Linked DNA regions of Rhinolophus ferrumequinum. The protein of the gene in region 1 purifies or fractionates together with the protein of each later gene. This does not show direct contact. Links are inferred from orthologs where the notes say so. Each region holds a gene or a part of one and is shown on either strand. Other genes may lie near its edges.

The links. Proteins that work in one complex are often made in the same cells at the same time.
Region 2: the proteins of ARPC3 (region 1) and ACTR3B purify together in Homo sapiens (affinity purification with mass spectrometry; 6 studies listed by BioGRID and IntAct, counting the BioPlex papers as one, with this or other methods). This does not show direct contact. The link is inferred for Rhinolophus ferrumequinum from reciprocal best matches to the Homo sapiens genes ARPC3 and ACTR3B.

The regions. Positions count from the first base shown.
Region 1 is NC_046308.1:6,137,137-6,145,227, forward strand, and holds the start of ARPC3 (actin-related protein 2/3 complex subunit 3), read right to left. Parts: upstream 3,162-8,091; 5' UTR 3,029-3,161; coding exon 3,023-3,028; intron 892-3,022; coding exon 792-891; intron 1-791. Other genes in the region: GPN3 (GPN-loop GTPase 3), read right to left, coding at 5,000-5,059, 5,639-5,767, 6,276-6,372, 6,521-6,636, 7,194-7,318. UniProt on the Homo sapiens protein: Component of the Arp2/3 complex, a multiprotein complex that mediates actin polymerization upon stimulation by nucleation-promoting factor (NPF).
Region 2 is NC_046309.1:2,856,083-2,864,004, forward strand, and holds the start of ACTR3B (actin-related protein 3B), read right to left. Parts: upstream 3,157-7,922; 5' UTR 3,053-3,156; coding exon 3,009-3,052; intron 1-3,008. UniProt on the Homo sapiens protein: Plays a role in the organization of the actin cytoskeleton.

The sequences.
Region 1 (8,091 bases):
TTGAAAACAAAATTAAATTAAAAAGAGGTCAAGTCAAATAGTCTAGCAAAGGGATGGAGATGACATCAGTACAAAATTGGTAATTAAAACCGTGGTCTTGGAAACCATGAATGGAATTCAGTGCAGACCCTTTCTGTATGTAGGGAAACCATGTCTAATATAATACAAATTACACTGTTGGCAGAGTATCTAAGAATGTGTCAGAAGAGTCTCAAGGTCTGAAAAGAATGGGGCTTTCTGAACAGTAAAAAATGATTTAAAAAGGAGTACCAAGAAAGAAAGCAGAATTATGTAATTCAGAAAAGCAAGAGAAGAAATGAGTAATGTTACATAGGACGCTTCAGATTTAAGATCGAGGTGTTGCTAAATATGGAGATCCTGAAAAATCGATCAAGAAAGTAGATTTAGATGGGGAAGAGGTTAAAATATGTTTTGTGTTTTTCCAGCTTAATGACAGATAAGGGGTAGGGACATGGCATTCTTTACAAGTAGCAGCACTAGTTTGTAAGAACTGACAGTGACGACAGAAAACTGTGTAGAGAATTAAGCACATTTTCTTTCTCCTCAACAAAATGTCCTGGAGAAATCAGCAGCAATAACAGTTTCCTATTAGATACAACATATACCTATATCTTGAAAGGCCTAAAAAGCAATATCCACCAAGCAAACAGAAAATACAGGAGCAATGTGAAACAGAGGCCTGAGCTAAGAATTTCCCTGATTTGATGTCAGAGGGTTGTTCGATGTTTCATACCAAAATCTGAAAATAACAGAAAGGGGTTTCGACTTACTCTCTCTAGGGGCGGGTCCTTTGAACTGACTTCTGATAGGCAACAGTGCCATGTTTCCAATCAGCTTGGTGTCGGGGTCCATGAGAGAAGAGTGGTAAGCCTGTATTGGCACGCCAGGTAATACAGAAACAGAAAGAGAGCAAACGTCAGCAGGGCAGAGAAGTGTTTTTCTCCGAAAGGGAAAAAAAAAAGAGTAACCCACCCCAGATTAACTAGAGGAAGAGGGAGAAGAGATGGTGGCAGCTGTGTGCTGGAGCTGGCTCTTACTGGCTCATGAAAACCAACTGTTAAATTTCTAGGAATTTTTGAGCCAAGCTGGTTGTTGAACACAGCTGTTATTAAAAATAAACTTATATAAATTTGCAATAAATTACATTAAAAACAAAGATAATAAATACTCAAAATTCATTACTTCCTATTAAAAAATACTGTTGTCTGTGAGCTTGAAGTTATTCATGCCTTTTGTATCTTTAGGGCGGAAATACTATATAATGTGGTACTACTGTGCATTTCTTTCAATTCCACGTTCAGTGACATCACACTGGTAACTGATGGGAGTATTTACATCACAGAAATAGGCAAACACCATATAGATCAGAGGTACCCACCCCCCAGCTGTTGTTAAGCCAGAGCCCAAGCACTGGCTTTTCAGCGCTGCCATTTTCTGGCTTTCTGTCTTTGATCGAGATACCATTTTTCTTCTCTTAGCTGGTTTCCAAATTTGCAAAATGAAGAGATATACTGCTTTCAATGGGTAGGTGTGAATTAAAGGATGAGAGGGGGGAAAAATCATATTTGTGAGAGCAACTTGTATATGAGTCCTCGTTCTGCCTTTTATAAGATGTCTAACTTTTTAAAGAAGACATGGGCCCCATTCATATATTCATTCAGTCAGTCACCAAATGATTACTAAGCACCTTCTAAGTGTAAGGCACGGTGATATAATGGTATACAAGACCAGTACGGTCTCCATTTTTAAAGAACTTTTGGCTAACAGAGAAGACAGATATTAAATAAGTAACAAAGGGGAAGTCCAGGGTGCTCTATGTGCAAATGGAATGAGCAAAGGGCTTTAGCGTCCTGGTTTAAAATCGGACTTTATCAAAGTCTTTGCACTAGTGTGCAACCTTAGGGAAATTACTTAACTTCTCTGAGCCTCGGTTTCCTCCCTCCTCTGCAAAATGTGAAACCAATAATATATCTACCTCATAGGCTCACTGTAAGGATTAAATGGGATAATTTATATAACGTGTGTAGCTCAGGGCCTGCCTGGCACATATCGAGTCAAATGGTAGCTATATGCTTCATAAAGTATTTATGACGATGGCCTGCTTCTTTTTATCACACGTATGCTTCATCTAAAGCAGCCTGCACCCTGCCTTTCACCAGCTACTGTCTTGTTACCCATCTATTTCCTTCATAGCATTTGTCATTATTAGAAACGATCTCCTTTATTTTATTTACATGTGTCTGCTTCCCCATTAAAATGTAAACTGCTTAAAAGCAGGGATTTGTTGGCTTTATTCACTGTTGTAACAGTGCTCAGCATGCAGTCCGTGCTCAGTAATGTCTGAATAATCACATGTTGTTGAACCTCTGTTTACCTAATCTGCAAAATGGAGGCTGTAAGGGCGATAAACTACCTCGCAGACTGGCTGCCAGAAATGAAGAGAAACTACACCACCAATTTTTCTCCTACTCTGATGCACAAGAAAATAGAAACATTTGGAAACCGGGCGCATACCTCGAGTTGGCTCTGGTGGCCGCCACTGCCGGCGCAACAGGGAAGTGGGTCTGACAAATGACAAGCAGCGGAAGGGACCCACCCCCTGGGACGGAGGAAGTGGGTCTTCAGAAAAAAGGAGAAGCCAGACCCTGGACTTGAAAAATGAAAACTAAAAAGCGAAGCCCTCGCGGCTCTGTTGACGTTTTGGGGACACTGCCGGAGTTGGGGGCTTGCAGAAGGGGCAAAGACAGGGTTGGGATTGGAGAGAAGGGGGCCGGAAGGGCTGAAGCAACCCCCTCTGCACGCCCACTCTGCCGCGCCTCCGCCCCTCCTGGCCGACACTATCAGGCCGCCCCAATCCTACAAGAACTGGCCCCCTCCCCTCTCCCGTTCTGTCCCCCGCTCCCTCTGCCCAGCTTGGCCCACTTCTCTCAGCTCACGCACGATGTCCGCCGCTCTCCCCAGTTCTCGCCGTCTCCCCACACCCCTGACTCGGGCTCCTTACCGGCATCTTGGCGGCCCCCGAGTTTCAACCCAGATGAAGAGCAGGAACGGGTTAGAGCGCTGGGCTTCCGGCCTGGCAGCCCGGGCGGGGTAGGCGGAAGTGAGCCGGAAGGGGCGGTGAGGAAGGACGCGCGCTTCCGGCCTTGCTGTCTGGCCGCTGGCTGCTGCGGCTGCGCAGAGCCGAAAGGGCCGGGGGGGGGGGGGGGGGGGCCGAACACCGAGTGTTGCGCAGGCGTGAGACGTGGAGCGGGCAGTGTGTTTGGGGGCTACATATCTGTGCTCGCCTTTGTTTCTTCAAAGAGCCCCTTTTCAGTGAAGCATTCCCTGTCATACTATTTTAAATTCAACCCCACTGGACTCCCTGCCTCATCCTTCTTTCCCTTTTAAAAGAATCTTATGATTCTTTTATTTAGTTTACTTTCGGTGTTTATTTCCCGCGATCTCCCCATCCATGTAAACAAAAAGGCAGTGATTTCGTCCGTTTTGTTCACTGCTGTGTACCCCGTGTCTAAAACAGTGATGGTATACGGTAAGCATACTTGTTCAGTGAATGAATGAACCCAACTTTTTTGTTGTTGTCATTTCAAAAATTTCATTCTCTTCAACTGCTTTTGCGGTTTATAGCGATATTTCACGTATTAGTTCCCTGAAGCCTTTTTCATTCTGAGCTTCGTTTGCAGTGGATAACTGGTTTTTCAGGGGTATGACCAAACCACTGGTTTTAAAAATGGGGAGAGCACAGTGAGAGGGAATTGTGCATTATTCTGTACTGTAATTCTGTGTGATGGTTGAGAAACTGACTCTGAGTTAGATTCCCAACTCCAACATTTATTGGCTGTGTAATTTTGGGCAAGTTAATTTACCTGTGTGTCAGTTTCCTCATCTGAAAAATGGAGATAACAGTACTTACCTCAGTTTCGTGAAGGTGAAATGAATTGCATGCAAAGTGCTTAGAACTTACATGCCTGGAATATACTAAAGACTCAGGAATTTTTAAACTATTACTGGAAAGCAACTCATGATAAAAGCCAAGTTCACTGCTGCTTGGGGCCATTTCTTCTCCCAGTCCCTCATGGGGACTTTGCCCCATGTTCCCATAATGGATTTCTCATTTAGGCCTCTGGCCAAACAGCACCTTTTAGGAAGAGCCTTGACAATGAGCCCAAAGCAGCCTGTTAGTCACTCTCCATTTCATTAGTTTTCTTCCTATTCCTTATCAGAGGCTTCCTTGTTTATGGTTAGTCTCAAGGGCCCAACATGTCAACTCCATGAGAGTAAGGTTTTGTCTGCCTTGCATGCTTCCCAGTGCCTGGCACCCACTGGTAAATTTGTCGGAAGAACCATGTCAAGCTCCCCTACTTGGGGAAATTTACTCATTCAAAAATTTGCCCTGGCTGAGTATTTCAATTTCTGACTGGAGAACAAGACTGTAATGAAAGGTCAGTGCTATTTCTTTTATTTATATACATATTTATCTTAAAACATAGTTACTTTTCATTTTTTAATTATACAAATAATACATTTTCAATGTAGCAAAACTGGAAGATACGGATAAACAATGGCCTTATCTATATTCTTCCAACTTTTTTCCTCTAGACACACATATGTATATTTTGTTAAAACAATTCCAGTCCCTCCAAAAAAAGGTTCAAAAATAACAAAAATCAAACTGTTTACAGGTCTTAATTGTACCACAGGTGCTGATTTATATTATATGCAAATCTATGTGCAGTCATTTCAATTTCAACTTTTAAAATCTAAATTGTGCTGTAAAAATATTAGTACAAGACTCCACTTTAAACAGCAGTAGTTTCAAGAATAACTAAGAACCTGATTCAAGCATGCTGCTGATAAACAGCCAAGTATTATTTTTTTTCATTAAAATAAGTAGCTTTCTTGTATTGCATCCTTTGAGAAGAATGTTCTGATGTTTCAGCCACAAGCTCTTCACATACATAGTCACTTTTTAGTAAACTCTTTATTCATTCTGGTGTTCTTGAAAATATTCATCAAACCTAGAAGACTCATCTTCATGTTCCTGACACAAAGGAAACACAAAATAGAACATACATTCATTTCCCCTCAGACCTAGTATGTGTTTATATATTTTTCAGGTAATGCTCTGTAAGGAGCAAACACCCAGCACCACTCCAGATGTTACTCACAGGTAATAGTTAATAGTAACAAAGGCATGACTGATAGACTATTTCCAGATATGTGGTAGTAAGTGCTTCTCTCTCATTAGGAGCATTTTTCACAGAGTTTACTCACGCCGATTCTCAACTAAGTTGTGCCCTATTGACAATAACCATTAATAGTCTTTCCACTGACACATGTGACAGCAGTCCAAGTTCAATTGGATTTTACTTCCTCTTTGCATATACCCCAAGCTCTGAGTATAAAGAAACATAACTCAGTAACATTGCCTCAAAAAAAAGTAGAGTAAAAGTGATACTGCTCGTTGAGCTCAGGTGTCAGTTTCAGAGATCACCCAGAAAAGCCCAGGTTATTGCTGCCACTGAGACAAAAATTGAGTTCCTGGGGTTATATAGGATGCCAGGGAGTGCCGACAAACATTTCTACCAAAAGCCAATAAACACCCTAAACCAGAAATTACCTTTGGTTCTTTAAATTCCAAGTCTTCTCCATACTGAATGGCAAAATCAATATGCTGTAATACAATATTCATGCTTTCTTCATCTGACTGATCGTATGGCAAAAATCGAACCATGCTGTAGTCGTCAATCTACAAATTGGGGATTTCAGAAAGGGTCATTCAGAAATTGTGCAAAATACTTAATTTTCAACTTATATTTGCGTTTTATAACCATTTATACTCCTGATTAAACCATTTGTGTGTGAGGGGGTAGAGATAGACAGTGACAGAATGACAGCAAATCAATGTTTTTCTGACCTCGGACCTACTTAGAACACTCAACTTATTACTTAACTAGACACTATTTAATAAGCATTTATCTGAATTCAACAACCACTGGAAATTTCAAAAGGGCAGTTCTGAGCTCCCAATATGGCTTGGAATAATAGACATGTCAGTTAAGTTTTTGGCTACTGCCAATAACTGCTTCTAAATTAAACTGCTGACTGGCTAGCCCACAGCCTCTCACCACCACCTCCCCTTTGCAAGGAAATTGGGTTGGATCATGCTTTCCATAATGGTGGCCACTGACTAGAAACCAGTAAACACCTACTAACCAGGGCATTGAAAAACGACAACAACAACTTAAGAAGCTTACCAGTCCACATATAGCTTTAGTCAATTTTTTGAATTTTTTGCTTCTTAAGTCACTTGTAGAATCATCTAATAAAGAATACATGTCTGGATCTAGAAACCTTTAAAAGTGAAAAAGAGATGATGAATTAAAGGAAGAATAAATCAGGAAATTGGATTTATAGACTGACAGAACGTCACATGTAAACAAAGTTTAGAAGATTCATCTCTGCAATTGAGATCTGATGACAATGGAAGACATGAACTCACTTCTCAATTTCTTTTTTCGCTTTCTTACTCAGCAGATCCATTTTTGTCATGATGTTAACTTGTGGAATTTCTAGAGAGATCATAGCGCTCAGCGCTGCCAAGATGCCAGAAATAAACTGAAGGAGGAAACAGGAAAGGGAAGATGAATCAACTGGTGCCCACAAAGCTCCCGGGTCTCTGTATAAAAGAGAGGCTTCTGCTCCTCCCTGGAAGAAAAGTCAAAGACACGCTAATCCTAAACATAAGACGGTCCACTCATCAGATGGTTGACCCTTGGTTTTCAAAGGTGAGGATAAGGAAGGAAGATGTAGATTTAATCTACAGTGATCACAAATCTCATTTCAGACTGTATCTTTAACCTTTCCATTGAAAATTCCTTAAGAGCTACTAAATGAGAAATACAGTTTTAGATAGTTCACAAACGAGACAAAAGTTCCTCAGAAAATTAAAAATACTTTTATCTGCCTCATTTTTCTAATTCCCCCAAATCTATATAATATCATAATTTATCACATGAATTAAAAATACATTATTATAATAATTTAATAATAAGGGATACTGAATCATTCTGGAGTATAGTTTGTGAAATGTTCAGAATCACACAATGATTAAAGGAGACTATCATCTGCTTGTACCCAGAACTGAAAAATCAACAACAGATTTATCATCAAACCTTGAACGACTCCACCATAAACTGAGAGTCAACCAGAAAAACTCCACAGACTCGGAACTCCCACTGTTCTAGCTGCTTGACCAGCTGTTTCATCACGGGCAGGTGCGTGTACAACTCAATCTGACCTATATGAAGAACATTACGAGACTATTACTATCAGGAAATACGATAAATTATCAAATTACAGGAAAAAAGTTTTTCCCATAAGACGACGGTTTAAAAAAAAAAAAAGGGAAGGCAACACCTGGTAGTAATATATTCAATTTTTAAGGGGTCTTAAAGCCTCTCGAAGCAATCACAAAACCATGAGGTTCTTCACACTTTAATTTTTGCTGATCAAAAGCAAAAACTGCACAAAGGTGTGTGCAGTTTGGGAATATTCATCAAGCTGTACACTTATGATGTCTGCACTTCTCTGTGAGTGTGTGGAAGGGGGGAAAAGTGAGAGACACAAATGATCAAAGCGAGGTTAAGCTCAAGTCTAAAATTCACAATTTGGCATAAGAAGCCATGTGCGATTATCTGTCCCCGACCAGCCTCACTTCATGACATTTCTCTTTGCCTACTGTGCTCCAGCTACACAGGCCTTTTTGGTGCCTCAAACCCACCTCATTCTTTTCCTGCCTCGAGGCCTGCAGCTTGCTGTGCCCTCTGCCTGGACCACGGTGTCCCTCACCTTCACCCTCTGGCCCAGCTTACAGGCCACTGGATCAGAAGCCTCCCCTAACCTCCCTGCTATGTGATGGTCTGTACCACTCCTGTGGGGCGGGGCCCGTCCCAAGTGAATATCAAGTAGTCAGTTGGCTGAGTTCTGTTTATACTGTCTAGCACTCCCACTTGACTGGGAGCTCCACGAGGGCAGAGACCATGAGACCACGGCTGCCTGGCTCTCTATGGT
Region 2 (7,922 bases), on another chromosome or scaffold:
CAAGTGAAGCTCATTGAGCACGAGGCCGAGCACTATCTTAAGCACTCTGATCAGATGAAGGGGTTCTGGGGAGACAGCAGAGTGATTATAGAGAACAACACTGTACTTGAAAGTCACTAAGAGATTAGATCTTAAATGTTCTCACCACAAAAAAGAACCAGTAATTATGTGTCGTGATGGAAGTGTTAGCTTGACACTATGTGTAACCATTTTGCATATAAATGTATCAAATCAACACATTGTATACCTTAAACTTACACAATGTTCCATGTCAATTACATCTCAATAAAACTGAGGGGAGAACATGCCTTCTGACGGGATGCACTAAGGAGGATTGATGTCACTTCTGTGGCATTCCTGACAAAAATGCATAACCTATATCTATCACAAGGAAGCACCGATGAGCCTAAATTGAGGGACATTATCCATAACAACTGGCTGCCAAAAATGTCAATGTCTTGAAAGACAGAAAAAGGCTAAGGAACTGGTCCAGTTAAATGAGACTACAAAGACGTGATGACAAGCAAACACAGTCTGTGGTGCTAGATGAGGGAGCAGAGGTGAGAATCCGTAAGACATAAATGGGGCCATTTGTGTCAGTCCAGACTGCGTACAAGAGAACACTACCGCACGATGTCAAATCTGATTTCGATCTTTCGCCTGTGATTGTGTGAGAGCTCTTTGTTCTCAGAAAGTATACACTGAAGTATTTTGGTATAAAACCACACTTAAACAGTTCAGAAAAATAATAATACATATAGATATACAGAAAATGATAAAGCAAATGTTAATAGTTGGTGAAACTGGATGAACAAATAGTTTTTTGGTACACTTCTTGCAGCTTTTCAGTAGGTTAGAGCTGGTCTCAGGGTTTATTAGAGGATGCTAGGCTACCAGGATGGAATGTATTTTGCTCTAACAAATACTCTTTAGCACGCTGTCCAATAAATCATTAGTGTCTACCATGTATAGTTCAGTGTGAATTTTTATTCTAGAATTCAGTACTACACAAAGCTCTTTCACCAGAGTAACGGGCCTTTTTCTCCCTTCCTGATGACAGGAATTACACAACTGCTGATGGCTCTTACAATTTTGTCAGACAGGAAGACGAAGGCCAAATGTGAGGCTAAACTACAGCAGCCACCGGCCCACAGCTTCGGGGACTCCCCAGGCCCACTCTTCTCCTTGGCTGTGGTTGCTTTTATCTGCATGTCACCCCTTTTTATCCTATTTTGAGGTAAAAGTCAATCCAAAAACCATTTTAACTCTCCGGGAAATGTAAGAACTACTTATATGCTCTCAGTAAATTAAGGCTCTTCCAGGCTGCTCCTTCTGGCCATACACTGGACACTAGGACTTCATGAGTGACCAGTTGTTGCCATGACAGAGTATGTCCACGTGAGACCCACTGGGAAGATTCTGTGCCACTGTTTCTAAGTTGACACCAAAGCCTATGGCAGCTTGGAGACAAGAACATGACTTGGGGCCATAAAACAATGACATACTGAAGTTACACCTCGGACAGAGCAAAGTTACTCTTATCACGTACCTCTGAAGGTCAAAACTGGGCACCCCATTTTGGATATTTATAGCAAGAATGATGAGTTAGGCCCTCGGCTTACTAATATTAAAGGTGACAAACTCTGTGAGCATTATTGTGTTCCTATCGCCAAGACATGCCTTGTATTCCAACAGTTTGACAAGACCAGAAATACAAAAGCAAAAATCATTTTGGGAATGAAAAATACTTTTACCTGTTGCCTTCAGTCTTGACACAAGCAGACCTCAAGTGGGTGTGGGGTGAACACTAGCTTGTGGGAGGGGATGCGTAAGGGAGTTAACAATTGGGGGTGTTAATACCAGCGCTGATTTGGGCTTGTATGTTGGGTAGCAAAACGACTTCTGGTACAGTGCGTATTTCAAAAAGCTTAGTATAGAGGCAAAGAGGCAGTTTATTTTTGTGGGTGTTTTTTCCAGCCTGTAACCACTACCGGTGGCTTCAGCAGCAAAAGGAAAAAAGAATCAGTAGGAGATGGACTGCAGCAAACTAAAGAAGACACCCCCACAAGGTTGTCAAGGAAACCAAACCAACTGCGTTTCTCCATAGAAAAGAATCAAGGCTGAGAGCAACGTGCCATGGAACATTTTGTGACAGAAGTGATTACAACCCCGTCTTGAAAACTCTTTAAGAGGCTACATCACTTCTAGGCTATTTTAACCAGTACTTCATCTAGAAAGCAAGCAGGCAACCTTGCATTTCCAAACGACCGGCGAGACGGGCTCCGTAAGCACCTTCGCAAGACCAGCTAAGCGTGGACCACGGCAAGCACAGGGCATTTCCAACGGTCTCTTCTGCACATCTTAACGTCAAAAGAAGCAAATCACACCCAGACAGTAAAGGGACAATAAAACTACACCACAAATAGGCTTTCCCCAATGTAAACTTTCTGTGTTTCAAAATGGGGCCCTCCCCCCCCCCACCCTTTTTTTTAACCTTTTTAAGCGAAAAGGCAAATCTACACCGACTAAAGCGAGGGCGTCGCCTGGGTGAGCCATTCAGTCCCGGGAGAGAGCAGAGTGCGCTGCAAAAAAGGTGTCAAGTTGGTCACGATGGGAAAAGCTCCCCAAGTCGGTGGGCGAGAACCCTCAGCCGGCGGACACGGCACGCACGCGGGGGCCCGGCGAGGGCCCCGGGAGGTGGGCGGGAGGCACACGACGTGCAGCGCCTGCAGCGACCCGCCGGACGCCGGCCTCCCCGGGAGGCTGAGGCCAGGGGGCGCCCGCCCGGCGCGAGGGCGGTGCGGGAGGCGAGCGAGCCGGGGGACGTCTGCCTCGACTGTCCCCGGTCAAGGTGAGGGGCCGGGGCGCGCGGCGCTGCCGGCTCTAGAGGAGCGGGGCGGGGACGGGGAGCCGCGCGGGCGCAGCTCGGCCTCCAGGTGAGCGAGGGCGGGCGCGGGGCAGGTGCCTGGCGCCGGGGCGGGAGCGGGCTGGGCGCCAGCGGCTCTTACCCGGTGCCGCAGTCCACCACGCAGGGAGGCAGGCAGCCCGCCATGCTCGGCACGCGCGCCGCTAGGCCCACGCGACGGCCCCGGAGGCCCCGCCGCCGTCCGCTCGCCGCGCTTGCCCCGCGCAGCCGGCTCCCGGGAGCCTCCGCAGCGCCGCCGCGGGAGCCCGGATGCTCGGCGGCCGCCCACGTGACGCCACTCCATCCGGCCAATCACGGCGCGGGCACTCCAGGCCCCGCCCCCGCCCCGCCATCTTTAGTGCTGGCGGCGCGGCTTCCTTGCCCACACGCCCAACCTTGAAGAGATTGGGGACTATTTTTAACTGACTTACCGTGAACGTGACCGGGTTTCCGAGGCCTGGCTCCTCATCTGTAAGTCTCCCTGGTTCCTTCTCATCCTGTAAGTCTGGGCTCGAATGTCACCTCGGGGAAGTTGTCCCCTCGCACCTTACTCTGTATCTCAGGAATCTATTGCTTTCCTTCGCTATTTATTTGTCGTCTGTCCCCTCACTGGACTATAGGCTCCCCTAGGTTAGAGCTCGTGTTTGCTTACCATTGGTGACCCAGGACTGCACTGGTATGCAGGGGACTTGGTGCATACATGGTAAGCACCCAAATGTTTGTTGAATGAATGAATAAACGTCGCCATACAGAGAAAAGACACTCTGGTAGACTTACACCTAGCAGAACACTGCAGAAGTTATGTAACAGAAGGAAATATCCAAAACAAAGGCATGGCCAGCATGAAGGAATGAATGTCCTTAGATTGAATTAACACCACATCAAGGTCATTATATTCGGGGAAAATCTTTTCAAGTATCAAAGATGGAATCATCCCAAAGTTCTTACTGAGACCAGGGACCAGAGTGGTCAAGCACCTACCACGTCATAAAGGTACTAAAAGTCCCACTTGCTTCCTGCTGTGTGTCCTCTCGTAAATTCTTTTTTTCCATAAATTCTTGACGTTAACCTGTAGGAGCTTTCTGGAGATGTCATTTCATGTAACTGAACTATGTAGTATTAAAAGCATTGTGGTTTTTTTTTCCCTAGAAGAAGTAAAGGCCTTGTGTTAGATGGGGCATGAAATGGTGAGCAGGATACATACTCAACGTGTCAGAATCTAGTGAGAGAAAGCAACAGTCTACAGGCAGTTGCACTAGTGTGGTGATGCCTGGATGGCCAAGCCCAGGGTACCCAGAAAACCACTCACAGAGCCCCTAACCCTGACATGGCAGTCAGTGGAGCCTTCCCAAAGCCATGGGCTCTGAGCTGAACCGCAGTGAGTGGGTAGAGAAGAGCTCCCTGGTGGACAGTGTGGGGCAGTTGCGTGTCTCTGGGTGGGAAACATGTACAAAGGCCAGGAGGACCTCGAGACTCATAGGTGGCCCAGCCCACTTCACCAGGTAAGAAGCCTTTATAGGGACTTGGGACGGGCTAATTATAAAGAAAGTCCCTTTGGGGGAGTGTCCCCACTGCCTACGACGTATTGGAAGTGCTGGCCATGGTCAGAAGCTGGTAGGAAATAAAAGATTTCCTGACTTCCATTCCTTCCTCTGGACACCCCTAACTTTAGAGGTATCAGTTAAGATGTTTTCAAAGGCAGGTAACAGAAAACTTAAGGTAGCCCAAGGAATGAGCAAATGTTATTATGTCATAGGATCGGAAATCCAGAAATTCCAGGGTAACTCAACCACAGGTGTCATCAGTGTGGGCCTGTGCGTTTTGTTCTACCAGGTTTGCACATTGGCCGTTGTCCTCAGACTTACCCCCTTGGCGATGTGAGATGGCTGCAACAGCTGCTCCATACACCAACTGCAATGGGCAAAAATGGGGGAGAAATGCCCCGTCAGATTCCTTTCTAAGAGAGAGAGGAAGGAAACTTTCCCAGAAGGCCCTAGCTTATTCACCTGGCTCCATTCACCTGGCTCCAATAGGGGCTGCTGTAACAAAGCAAATGTAACAATTGTAACAATTACCTACAAACTGGGCGGCTTTAAACTATGGCACTTACTATCTCAGAGGTCTGGAGAGTAGAAGGCCAAAATCAAGGTGTGCGCAGGGCCCTGCCCTCTCTGCAGGCCCCAGGGGACAATGCCTCTCTCCCAGGTTCTGCAGGTTGTCCATAATCCTTGTCGTTCGTTGGCGGGTAGGTGCATCGCTCCGATCTCAGTTTCCAACGTCACAGGCTATTCTCCCAGCTCATATGTCTGCATTCATGTGGCGTTCTCCTCTTCTTATAAGGATACTAGTCCTACTGGATTGAGGGCTACCTTAATGACCTCATCTTAATTTAATACAGCTGCAAAGGCCTAGAAAGACCAGATCAGATCCCATTTATTATACCAGGTTTTAGGATTTTAACATGTCTTTCTCGGGGACAGTTCACCTCATAACACCAGCAGCCATTGGTAAAGGGAACCGAGGTACTGTGATCAGCTTAGACTATGAAGGGTGACCCCCTCGGGCTGGACGGGGGTCTTGTGTCCTCTGAAGCATATGGCTGCCAGTACCTGACTGGAGTCGGGTTTGATCAGCAGGAAGGGGAATGACAGCCAATAGTTTCTGCCTCACTCATAATTTTCCTACTTAAACCATTTTCTCCCACTCATTCTATGCCCTTTCACTCCTCTAGCCTCTGCTTGGAACTGTCGTTTAAACAAACCTTCCTCTTCCCCCTGCTGGAGTTTTGCCACCTCTGTGAAGGTGTCCCTCAGTTTCACAAAAGACTGTCACTCTCCTCTGCTCCGAGAGAGCCAGCGAATCCTTCCACGTTTGTACTTATTGGGTGGCATCATAATGGTCACACTTCCATCACCCCAGTACCCCAGGAGAAGCGTAGAACTGTCTACTAAGATGAGAACTGTCTAAGAGTACAACTGTTGGATACATTTTTTATCTTCATCGGGCACTGCCTGGCCTCTCTGTAGCCACTCAAGGAATAGCTATTGAACAAATGAAAGTCTTTAGGCAATCTTTAAACCTCTCAATTACACATCACACTTGCTATTACGTGCTTTTTTTATCTGGTATCTTGAATATTTTAAGCAAATACAAGTGGATATTATGTATCATTCCTGTGTTAGTGTTCTTACCGTTTTTTGTCTTTTTGTGCTGTTCTTCTGTATGGTACAACGTATTCTTCTGTGATATTCTTCTTAGGTCGTAAACTCCTATCGATCAGAGACTGGTGGCATCACTGACAAGTGCCTTAGAGCAGAACAGCCAGAGAGAAGCACGGTAAGTACAGTCGCCATTAATTACATTGCTAAGGGAGCTTGGCCCCCTCCCATATATTGCGCAAAATTCTCCCTCCTTGGAACAAGAGGCACATTTGAGTTGGCTTCCTTTAGCAAGGCATCTCTTTACTGTGCTTCTACCCAACAATGGCCGTCTACTCTCCCCTCCCAACAGGCAGAAACGTGGAAACCAGAACACTTCCTGTACAGGACCCAGCATCTCTTCTGGCCATCGAGGTGACTTTTTCTTAGCTACTATCCTTAGTGCTGCACAACCCAGCACCACTCTCAGCCGAACTTTCAGTAAACACCTTTTGATGCATTTTGATGCCTATGAGGACTACTTTATAAAATAATCAGGGCTTGGAGATCGTCCATGGAATGGGGTTTAGTCCGTGAGCGCTGGGACAATGTGATCCTAATGTCCTGCACTTAACTGGTTGCGCTGGGCCAAAAAGGAAAAAGAACACACAAAACGAAAGGCTGTCTTCAGAAACGGCCCACCCAGCCGCTCTGTGAATCTTGAATCACAGAGCTGGAGCCAAGCGCGATCTGGGTGTTCTCTGTTGCCATAGGATGCAAATAGAGAAAGGAGTCCCCAAAAATGAGTGCCGCATGCCTTTGAAAGTAGCTGGCATTCTCCTTTAAGAGGAAGGGCCTGTCACTGCACTCAATGGACCTCCCAGGGGTCTTGGCAGGAGTGGTAGAAAATGGTCCCAGCTGCAGCCGATTGGCCAGACCGTGGTGACTGTGTCAGAGGTGGTAACAGACCCGAAACCACAAGGTGGGTAAGTTGACCTGACCATCTTCAGATCAACAGTCCTCTGTTTCTGCCTCCCCCATGGCGGGCGATCACTGGCCTGGACGCCCCCTCCTCTCTGGCCTCGTGTCCTGTACCACTCAGCTGCCACGTCCTGTTCACCCCATCCCACCACTCCCCTTGTCTGTAGACCTGCTTTTTGTCTTCCTGCTGCTCTTAACTGAACTGCTGCATATCTGTCCATCAGCCACCCTGGCTCCAGGCTTTGGCCTGTCTGAGACTTCTCTGGGGCAAGCAGTGCTGCTCTGAGAGGTGTCTGCCAAAACAGAGAATGTGTGTACATCATGTCAGCCTCCTTCCCCCAAACCTTCAGGGACTTTCCCCAAACCTTCAGAGAGACTCTCTATTATTACAGAATTTGATCCCAACCCTGCTTATGACATTCGAGGTCCTCTGTGATCTGCTCCCGAGTCACCTTTCATATCTCATCTCACACGATGCCCCTTGCCACATCTGGGCACAGCAGAGCACGTGCCCAGCCCGCTGTGTTGGCAGGTCTTCGTGCAGGCCCCTCAGTCTAGAGAATTCTTCTTCACTGACCCCATCTCCTCCTTCAAGACTCTGTCCAAAGCTCACGCACCCTTCCACTTTTGATTCAAATCCACGTCATTTTTCCCTTCAACAAAATAGGCTGAGGGCTTCTTTATGCCTCTACTGAGGAATCAATCCCTAAGCCTATGTCTACGAGTCAGGACCCAGTGATGTGATCTGGAGATGTGCGTCTCATTAAGGTCTTCTGTCCCACCGTACAGTGCTGGGGTTTGATTTGTAACCACTTCCTGCCCAGTTCTCACGGAAAACTGAGTTCTGATAACGTCTTCGCTTACAAAGCATTCAGTACATCATCACGTTGACTCTTCAT